4 linked regions of the Kluyveromyces lactis genome follow. The protein of the gene in region 2 binds, or shares a complex with, the protein of the main gene of each other region. Links are inferred from orthologs where the notes say so. Each region holds a gene or a part of one and is shown on either strand. Other genes may lie near its edges.

What was found. The genes of interacting proteins can lie anywhere in the genome.
Region 1: RSM18 (region 2) and RSM25 share a complex: the UniProt entries of both Schizosaccharomyces pombe proteins name them as parts of the mitochondrial small ribosomal subunit. The link is inferred for Kluyveromyces lactis from reciprocal best matches to the Schizosaccharomyces pombe genes rsm18 and rsm25.
Region 3: RSM18 (region 2) and RSM19 share a complex: the UniProt entries of both Schizosaccharomyces pombe proteins name them as parts of the mitochondrial small ribosomal subunit. The link is inferred for Kluyveromyces lactis from reciprocal best matches to the Schizosaccharomyces pombe genes rsm18 and rsm19.
Region 4: RSM18 (region 2) and MRPS16 share a complex: the UniProt entries of both Schizosaccharomyces pombe proteins name them as parts of the mitochondrial small ribosomal subunit. The link is inferred for Kluyveromyces lactis from reciprocal best matches to the Schizosaccharomyces pombe genes rsm18 and mrps16.

What each region holds. Positions count from the first base shown.
Region 1 is NC_006041.1:744,018-746,461, forward strand, and holds RSM25 (mitochondrial 37S ribosomal protein mS23), read left to right. Parts: upstream 1-1,127; coding exon 1,128-1,913; downstream 1,914-2,444. Other genes in the region: rRNA-binding ribosome biosynthesis protein UTP25, read left to right, coding at 1-163; KSH1 (Ksh1p), read right to left, coding at 506-724; EFM6 (putative protein-lysine N-methyltransferase), read right to left, coding at 2,149-2,444. UniProt on the Schizosaccharomyces pombe protein: Component of the mitochondrial ribosome (mitoribosome), a dedicated translation machinery responsible for the synthesis of mitochondrial genome-encoded proteins, including at least some of the essential transmembrane subunits of the mitochondrial respiratory chain.
Region 2 is NC_006041.1:409,301-411,449, reverse strand, and holds RSM18 (mitochondrial 37S ribosomal protein bS18m), read left to right. Parts: upstream 1-1,168; coding exon 1,169-1,636; downstream 1,637-2,149. Other genes in the region: KLLA0_E04599g (uncharacterized protein), read left to right, coding at 1-268; KLLA0_E04577g (uncharacterized protein), read left to right, coding at 553-939; protein kinase PKP1, read right to left, coding at 1,770-2,149. UniProt on the Schizosaccharomyces pombe protein: Component of the mitochondrial ribosome (mitoribosome), a dedicated translation machinery responsible for the synthesis of mitochondrial genome-encoded proteins, including at least some of the essential transmembrane subunits of the mitochondrial respiratory chain.
Region 3 is NC_006042.1:666,690-668,936, reverse strand, and holds RSM19 (mitochondrial 37S ribosomal protein uS19m), read right to left. Parts: upstream 808-2,247; coding exon 532-807; downstream 1-531. Other genes in the region: type 2C protein phosphatase PTC6, read left to right, coding at 1-236; putative ATP-dependent RNA helicase DBP6, read left to right, coding at 1,075-2,247. UniProt on the Schizosaccharomyces pombe protein: Component of the mitochondrial ribosome (mitoribosome), a dedicated translation machinery responsible for the synthesis of mitochondrial genome-encoded proteins, including at least some of the essential transmembrane subunits of the mitochondrial respiratory chain.
Region 4 is NC_006042.1:2,519,165-2,521,501, forward strand, and holds MRPS16 (mitochondrial 37S ribosomal protein bS16m), read right to left. Parts: upstream 895-2,337; coding exon 532-894; downstream 1-531. Other genes in the region: CIP1 (Cip1p), read left to right, coding at 1-6; mRNA-binding protein RRP12, read left to right, coding at 1,618-2,337. UniProt on the Schizosaccharomyces pombe protein: Component of the mitochondrial ribosome (mitoribosome), a dedicated translation machinery responsible for the synthesis of mitochondrial genome-encoded proteins, including at least some of the essential transmembrane subunits of the mitochondrial respiratory chain.

The DNA of each region.
Region 1 (2,444 bases), about 330 kb from region 2:
CAATATTGGTAAGAACGTATTTTTAGGCAACTGTGATATCAACATTTCAACTGTCAGATGCATATATAGTAAGATGGACGGTCTTTCTCTAGAGAGAGTCGTAGGATCTAAACGCGCGGCAGTATTGGCTCATGGCCAAAACGAAGTGTACGAGTTTAAATAGAGTGGATCAAATATGCCATAAATAATTAGTAAACCGAAAACTTACGCAATCGTTCTCCTTTACTAATAGCTTAGAGTATTAAAATATGTTGCACTTTTCAACTTCTTTGTTTGTTGTAGAATTTTGAAACTCAAAGTCAGATTCAAAGAGTACATATTAATTCTTAATTATTTGATGCAAAGAGACAAGCCCGCAAACGAATCCAATAGCCGCCCGATAATAGATTAAACTAATTTTATACTTAAAATATAATTCTATAGACCTCAGAGCCGGTCAAACTTGCTAATGAGAGCTTTCACCTATAGCAATTGTGACTTATCTTTATCTTTTCCCTTGGGTTTATCAACTGTTGAATTGCGAAACTGCCATGGCAATGCAAGCTAAAGACACATAAGGACTAGCTCTTTCCCCAATTCTCGCAAACTTCCAAAATACTCCTAGTATACCGCTGTCCTTATAACGATCAAGGAGCGATGGTCTTTGTGCATGAATATATGTGCACGAACATATGAACAATAGTATAACTTGTAACAATGATTTAAAATTGAATAGGGCAGACATGTTTTTCAGAAAAGCTAGTGACCGTGAATATTCTGCCGAAGAAAATATCTACTCTGAACCTTTCAAAACAGGAACGAGATGAAACCTAAGGTTCATCAGTTATCATTCCACTGTATTGAAAAGAATAAAGGAACTTACGCTCCCCATACACTTAGCTCTTCGATCTTTAATTTTGGTGAAAAATGTTTACTCTTCACGTGATCTAAAAATTGAATGCTTCTACTTAGAAAAATTTGAAAAATCTGATCGACGATCCAAAATGAAATTATAGTGAAAAGTTGAAAAGTTCACAAATATGCTGTATGAACAGCTCCAGGACAACAAGTATTGGATCGATTGCTTGAACCTGCGAGTTTACTGAGATAGTATAGAGTAAACGGGCCATATAAACGTCAGATATAAAATGAAGGTTCAGCAAGAAGCCGTTAATGTACTAGAACGTACATCCGCCTATTTGAAGTCTGGTATTTTGAAGAAGACTCCAGCTTGGTACAATGTTATAGCGAAGGTACCACCAACAAAGAAGTTTGCTAGAACCCCACAACTGACACATCCTATGAACGGTAAATCTAGAACTGCACTACCTGATTACAGCAATTGGAAGGCCAATTCTTCAGGATTATACAAAACTAGACCAAATTCTTTGGAAAAGAAAGATGGTGCATCGAAGCTATATCAGTCCCCAAAATTAGTATATATCGAGGATAAATTGAGAAAATTGTTCTTCCAGCAACATCCATGGGAACTTTCAAGACCTAAGATTCTTGTTGAGAATACCCTAGAGACTCAAGAATATGACTGGTCTCATATCCAACAACTAGGCAAGCCATTGGATGGCGAATCAGTTGTACAAAGGACGCTTTTCCTATTAAAATCAGGAGAGAAAAAAGAACTCATTGATGCATATGATCAAGCTAGATTCGAGTTCTACCGTCTAAGAATACAACAAGAAATTCAAGATCAAGTTGCTCAAGAAGAAGCCGAAATGTTCGGTTCAGTCTTCCATACCACTTCAATAGAATACGGAATTGCTAAGGAACAAAAGGTCATTGACACATGGAAGAGAAAGGCCTTACAGCAAGCTGAGTTGATGGCTGCCAGAGCAAGTAGTCCTTCTGCTTCCTGGACAAACGAGACCGAAGAAGAACAAAAACCTATTGATCAAGATGTTGAGGAAATTCAACTATGATCTTCCACAATTAAACACAACCAATGAACACTATTCCCGTCAGAACTCTGAGTTTTACTGTCATTATTGTATAAAAATTTCATGTATATATAAGTCACTATAACTATAAAGTTACTCATAGTTAATTCACGAATTGAAAGTACTTTCATGAGCATCACAAAAAGCATAAAAGATCAAACTAAATGGGGTGTCTTTGCATTTGACAAACGTCAGTTGTCACCCTACTACTATTTTTTTATTTCTCCCTCATAAGCTGAAACAAATGAGTTCTCTGTTTCAAATATTTATCGAAGTTAATAAAATCTCGTATCTCTACAATTTTAAAGTTCTTCTTGATCTTTTGGAAGAAATGTTTGTCCGCTTTACGCCTTTTCTTGTATGCCATTAGAATAATTGGCACATTCTCCCCATCAGTTAATTCTAACAGTGTTTTTTCCAATAATGGGAAAGCAGCTTCTAAGTACACACAGTCCGCAGCTAGCACTAAATCAACCGGTTTCTTGACAAATACATCCGGCAAGGGATTCCCCC
Region 2 (2,149 bases):
TATCGTTAAGTATGCAAATAAAAAAGAAGATGAGGCTGAATTAATGGTTTTATCGTCTTCATTAGTATGTAAGCCCATTGATAGTTATCTGGCAGTATGTCTTCGTAGCCATGAACTTGAGTATCATTGGGCAATGCTGATAGCTTACGGTGAACAGTTTTGGTTGAAAGGAGTAAGCTCTAAACAACCAGATGATTATTTAATATTGGACGAGAGTTATAGAAAAGACCACAATCTAGCTGAAGAAAGTTTTGTATTTAACGATTAATGGATTGAAAGCTGGAAAAGTAGTAATATTTTCCAGCTTTTTAATTTGTTGTTACGTTTATATGTTAACCTACTTAACCTGAATAACCACCAGAGCGGATAGAACACTGACTGATAATAGATGAATTGATGTTACATTGGAAATCACACCAATATTGATAAAATCCTCGAATTAGTTCAGAATCGCAGTTATTTACTGATTCATTATTCCCATCAGATCCAGCCAAGAATCAAGACCCTGCCGAAAAGCTGGGGTAAACGTTTGATTGTGGCCCACGGCTGGCTATGGGCGATTTCTACGTGCGGCAGCAGCGCGCCAGCGCGCCGCTGATCAAAGATCCATTACTGCTGCAGGTTACCGACAATGAAAGCCAGCTAGCCTCGATGCTGGCACACGAAATCTCACACGTGACCAAGCGCAACGCACCGCTGACCTGGGTAGGCACTCGGCTCCATTTTGCTGGCTATAACCAACCTGACTGCCGGCATAGCAGCGCTCAGCGGTACCGTCGCCGGTACCCAGCAAACGGATCATCAGTTTTGGCCAGGTCAAAGAATAGGAGGCCGATTGCATCGGCCTGTAGGTGCTGGAGCGCGCCGGGTTTGATCCACAGGGATGCCCGACTTCCTGCAAGAGCTTTCCGATCAATCGCGCTACACCTCCAAGGTTGATCTGCGTAAACTGGGTTGACAACAGGAAAAAGGTTGAATGCCTGGCAATGACTTAAGTATCCTTTATTTCAATCTCTTTTTTTTTGAAATTTAGAGATCTTTTCAACATGGAAAATTTTATTCAATAACATGAATATTAAGCAAGCAAGAGAAGGAAAACAACCAAGTCGCTCGGGCCTTTCTACGCCTGTTAACGAGAGATTGAATAAATTAAAACACATCAGAAGAAATGTTTTCCCGCAGCTGCGCAAGATTCTTTTCTACCACAAGATATGTCTGCAACAGTCTTGACCAAAAACTTCTGAAAGAAGGTATGTCGGAAGCTAATAGCAAGCCCACAATCAAGAAGCTAGAATCCAAGTTAATCAAAAACTTTCAGCCGGGCTCCGTTTACAATCCATTTGATTTCTCCTTAGAAAGAATACATTTAGATAAGAAGTTTGGGGTACGTCCTGGATCGTTTGACCCATTCAACAAATTGAAGATCAATCCACTTGATTTATACACCAACCCAGAGTTCTTGTCAAGATTTGTGACATCAACGGGTAAAATATTACACAGAGATGTAACTGGTTTATCGGCTAAGAACCAGCGTCGTCTAACAAAGGCTATTAAGAGATGCCAAGCAATAGGTTTGATGTCTAAGGTTCACAAAGACATATCGGTGCTTCCTCAAAGAACTGCAAACAGAAGCTAATCATGACATGTGATAACTTCTTGTATATATGAATATATGTTTCTCAATAAATAGGATTATATCTGTAAATAGCGCTAACAGTATAAACACGTTGCAATGGAAAGCTCCGGGACTGAATGATAGTACAGTGTTCTCATTTGTCGAATAGTCTATCCGATGGACCGTGCAATCGTATATAAACATCAGTACCCCATCCCCACAATGACTGAATGTCAAGTGTACCATTGAACAACTCTAGGTACGCTTTGCACATTGGAAGTCCGAATCCCATACCTGCAACGTTTTGGACTTCTTGACCAGGTAAAACATAATCGCTCATACCGCTGTCCTTCTCTTCCTTCACCGTTGTGGAAAAAGAATAATCAAAGACTCGGTCTTCTACCTGTGGATCTATACCGCCTCCGAAGTCTCTGATTCTGATCTCAAGTTGATCGTCGTTTTTCACTATTGTTACTTCCACATCTTTGTCAACGTTGTTTTCAATATGTGCTCTCGAGCTGTTCTTAAGCAATT
Region 3 (2,247 bases), on a different chromosome or scaffold from region 2:
ATCTCATCACCTCCACAGTGAACAATAGAGGTTTGAAAACTGCTTCTCCACACTTCTGTGCTCAGGAAGTTTTACAATATGTTATGGCTATTAGCTCTAAACATTCTGATAATGCTACTTGCGTAATTCTGCGGTTACCGAACTGGGGAAATTGGCCTGTCATTGATCGCACTGGTGCGATTAGAGAGGAAAAGCTACTAAGTGGTGTATCCGGTGGAGAAAGATCTAGTGGTTGAAAAAAGTCCACAAACTTAATCATAAATTAAATTCAAAAGAAACCTCAAGTAAAGAGTGTATATTCTATTTTACTTCAATTATTATATATAGTACTCGTTATGATTAACATTTGCATCTATTTAACAATGAGAAACACCATTAACTCCCAATTAATCGAGAGCACTTGTTCAATAAATCATTTCTTAGTAATAGATACAGTTACGTATGGAGTACACGGTGGTACATGAACTTCCAGGTGTGATTTTATATACATGCTGCTGTCTGACTAACTTTGTGCTTTTCATAAATGTCAAATCATTTGTTCTTAGTTTGAGTATAACTGAATCTCTTTCTTGTTGGTACGAATTCTCCTAGCTTACTTCCTACCATATCTTCTGTCACTTCAAACGCGACATACTCCTTACCATTATGCACTTGGAATTTCAGTCCGACAAATTGAGGTAATATGGTGGCAGATCTGGCATTTGTTCTAATGGGCGTACCTTTGGCCAATGCTTCTTTTATTGGTAATGGGACTATATTTGGACCTTTCCATACAGAACGTGATAGTAATCTCAATGACGGGAACATTTTATGACGTTATGAGTGTTATCGTAGACGCGAGATATTTGTCTAACTGCTGGAACCTTTGGCTGACTGATATCATGGTAGTGACTTAACTCTATTATATCTTGTCGTTATTTCAAGTTTTACAGATTGAAATTTTTTATGAATTCCGTTCTGAAATAAAATAATAGACGAATGGCGATGAGATGTAATATGATGCGATGAGCTTCAGGAATTTAGAAGGTCAGTAACAGCATAGCGACAGCATAACGATAGCATCCAGTCAATAACATGTTTGCTGCAAGGTTTGATCCTACTAAGGTGACTGAAAATGTACTAACAGCTGAAGTCACACAAATAAAAGAACCCACTGTGCCCCAAAAGAGGAAAAGAGATGCGGAAACTGATGATGAAGGCTCTGGTGAGGACGATGCTTCCAGCAGTGAGGATGATGCTTCCAGCAGTGAGGATGATTCCGATACAATTAGTGAGCAAGATGAAAACAAGGTTGCATCTGTTGCGCCTACAGAAACTTCTCAGCAATCAGTTGATGCAAAGCACAGTTCCGTATTAAATAGATTTCAACAGACTCTTTCCCTGCAAGGTGCGTTGAGCGCTTCAGACAAGGTCAGTAGTGACAACGATGTACACGATGAGGACGTATCCATGAAAGATGTTCACAGTCTTACCCCAATTCCTCAACCGGCCAAAGTGACCAATGAAGCCTTGAAGCTTCTAGATCCGTCTACATATAAATCCACTGCGTGGGATGCAGCAACCAAAATTCATTACGATAGTAAAATGGTTAAACAATTCGATAGCTACGAAGGTGAATTAGATGCACGTCTGCTTAAAAATATTACCTCCAATTTCTCATCTGAAACGTTCCCTATTCAGACCATTCTATTCGATAAAGTGCTCCCGCTTCTAAACTCATCTTTTAAAGCAAACAGAAAACTTTTCACAAGACGAGTTGGTGATATATTAGTAAACGCATCAACTGGTTCCGGTAAGACCTTAGCATATTCTGTCCCTTTGGTTCAAATTTTGAGATCTAGAACAGTGAATAAAGTTAGGGCAATAATTTTGGTTCCTACTAAAATTTTAATTCATCAAGTCTACGATTGTCTCTCTAAACTAAGTCAAGGGACCAGTCTCAATGTATCAATGTCGAAACTCGAGAACTCCTTGAAAGAAGAACACAACAAATTTTTGTATAACTCTCCAGACATTCTAATCATCACTCCGGGCAGACTGGTCGATCACTTGCAGATGGAATCATTTGACCTAAAAACTTTGAAGTTCTTAGTCCTTGATGAAGCAGACCGACTATTAAATCAGTCATTCCAAAATTGGAACCAAGTGCTTTTCCACCATTTGACAAACGATAAGCAGGATAAACGTCCAGGAAACGTAATCAAAATGGTCTTTTCTGCTACTTTGACTACGAATGCAGAAAAGTTG
Region 4 (2,337 bases), on a different chromosome or scaffold from region 2:
TTATAGTTGCACTGGAACACAATTTGACTCGATGTAACATCATGAGCACTAATCTCCAATACAAACCTGAACATTACACCAAACATACCTATTAAATACTTGAGAAGTTAGACATTCACTCACTCATTCACAAAAACATAACATAAACCATCTTTTTGTTCTTGTAATTTTGTTAATATTTATGAATTTTCGGAAATCACATAGTTTAACAGTCAGTATTCCTCGATGATACTTCCCTCATTCAGGGAAATATATGCTGATGACGATTATTATTATTGTGTAGAATTACCTGATAGCATCTTATATATGGTGATATGTAAATTTAATCACTTCAATTTTACCGCATGGGGCCAAGCTGTTAAGTGTATGTAACTACTACATTGGTTTATGACCGGAAAAAGTGCCCGAATTCCTCTTATCAATTTAAGCCTATATACATGAGTTCTTGACCGTAAGAAAGCCTTGGGAGATGGTGATTTATGCCCTGATTATTGATATACCGCTTTTAATACAGTAATCGGAACAGCTGGTCTATTCTTCAAAGACTTCTTTCCTAGGTTCAATAACAACCCTACTACTTGTGTAGGTCTTTCCCCAATTTTCATCCAGGATTCCAGCTTTTCTCAATAGTCTTGTTACCGTATCACTAGGTTGAGCACCAACACCGATCCAGTATTTAGCTCTTCCGAAGTCTAATTCCACATCTTTAGTAGGAACAACACCTTGTTTAACCTCTTTCTTCGTTAATGGTTTTGGGATTGGGTTGTATGTTCCTAATACTTCAATTGGTTTCCTATTCAACGCCTTATGTTTGTTGGTAACAACTATGTTGTATACTGGGGTATGTTTCCTTCCGAATCTAGCTAGTCTTATCCTCACCAAACCTTTCGTCATGATTATTGTATTTCACCAAACTTGGCGTTAAATTCTGGTTTAAGAGACTTGGTTTACTCGCTCTGGTCGTCTTGATACATAATATGTTTGTCCTGTTATTACGCTTTTAATGTTGATTGAATTTTTTTTTCTATCTTTCGAAGGATTTTCAACACCAACTAAATAAAGCATGTCTATCACGTGATATAGGTGGGATATCTAACAGCCGTATGAGCAACATTCGTCTTAGGCGTTTATGGCGACATTACAGCCTAATAGTATAGGAAGTTGATCTATGAGAAAGTATCTATAAGTGAGAAAGTGTTTATTTACTGGAGTTAGACTGACGGTGGGAATTAGTTTACCAAAAATGCAGTCATATAAAACGACTTGGCATTACAAATAACATCGCATTCAGTAAAGAAAGTTAACGACACAAATAATGAAATAGTATGTTCTTGAACCCGTTTAGCAGACGCATATATACAGAGTTGGCATATATTAACCAAAATTTATTTACTTTTTATTCTCTGCTTTCTTCATTGCCTCACGATCCTTGCTGCTTCATCACTAAGGGCTTAAAAAGAAATTTTTCACAAGCTGTATAAAATTTTCAATCTAGCTCATCTCATCGCTCATCTCATCTAACAAGTAGAGACGAGTTATAATCAACAACACCTCAGAAAAGAGAATTACTGAGTTTAACTTGGGATTGAAAACTGACAAGCGAACAAATTGTGCAATATGGGTCCTGAACAAGCGTCCAAGCTTCTTGAACTTGAAGATAAGCTTGCTAAAATCAGAGGACAATCTACATCAAAACTAGAGAATCAGAAGCACATTGCCATAATCTTGGCTGCTATTGAAGAAAATATTAATGAGCAAGAGGCAATTAATAAGAACATCGTGAATTATCTTATTTCTTTGATGTCCTTGCTGGATCAAACTATCGATACAGAAACTGCGGCCATTAAAGATCTACAATTAGCAACATCAACGATGTATTTGTTGGACATCATTTTTCATTATACACCAAAGAAAATATTAAAGAGCAGGTTTGCTGATATTTTGATTAAAGTTGCCCCATGTATTACTGATGAAAAGGCTAACGCTCCTTTGATCAAATCCGCTCTTGGTTGTTTAGAAGCTTTGTTAATTGCCCAGGATACGCAAACGTGGAATAACACTCAAAATTTAAAGGTGACTCCAACAAGAGGTTTGGATGGTCTACTTGAGCTATCTCTAGATCCAAGACCAAAAGTAAGGAAGAGAGCACAGGATGCAATTACCAACATTCTAAAAAACCCTCCACCTGGTCCAACAGCAGAACACGTCGCATCACCTTTGATCTCAGCATTCGCTATTAATGCATTGGTATCCATCCTTGATGAATCTGCAACGATTTCCAATAAGAAGCTAAGAGCAATGGGAGGTGCAAGTGAATTGAACTCCAAAATCATTCAT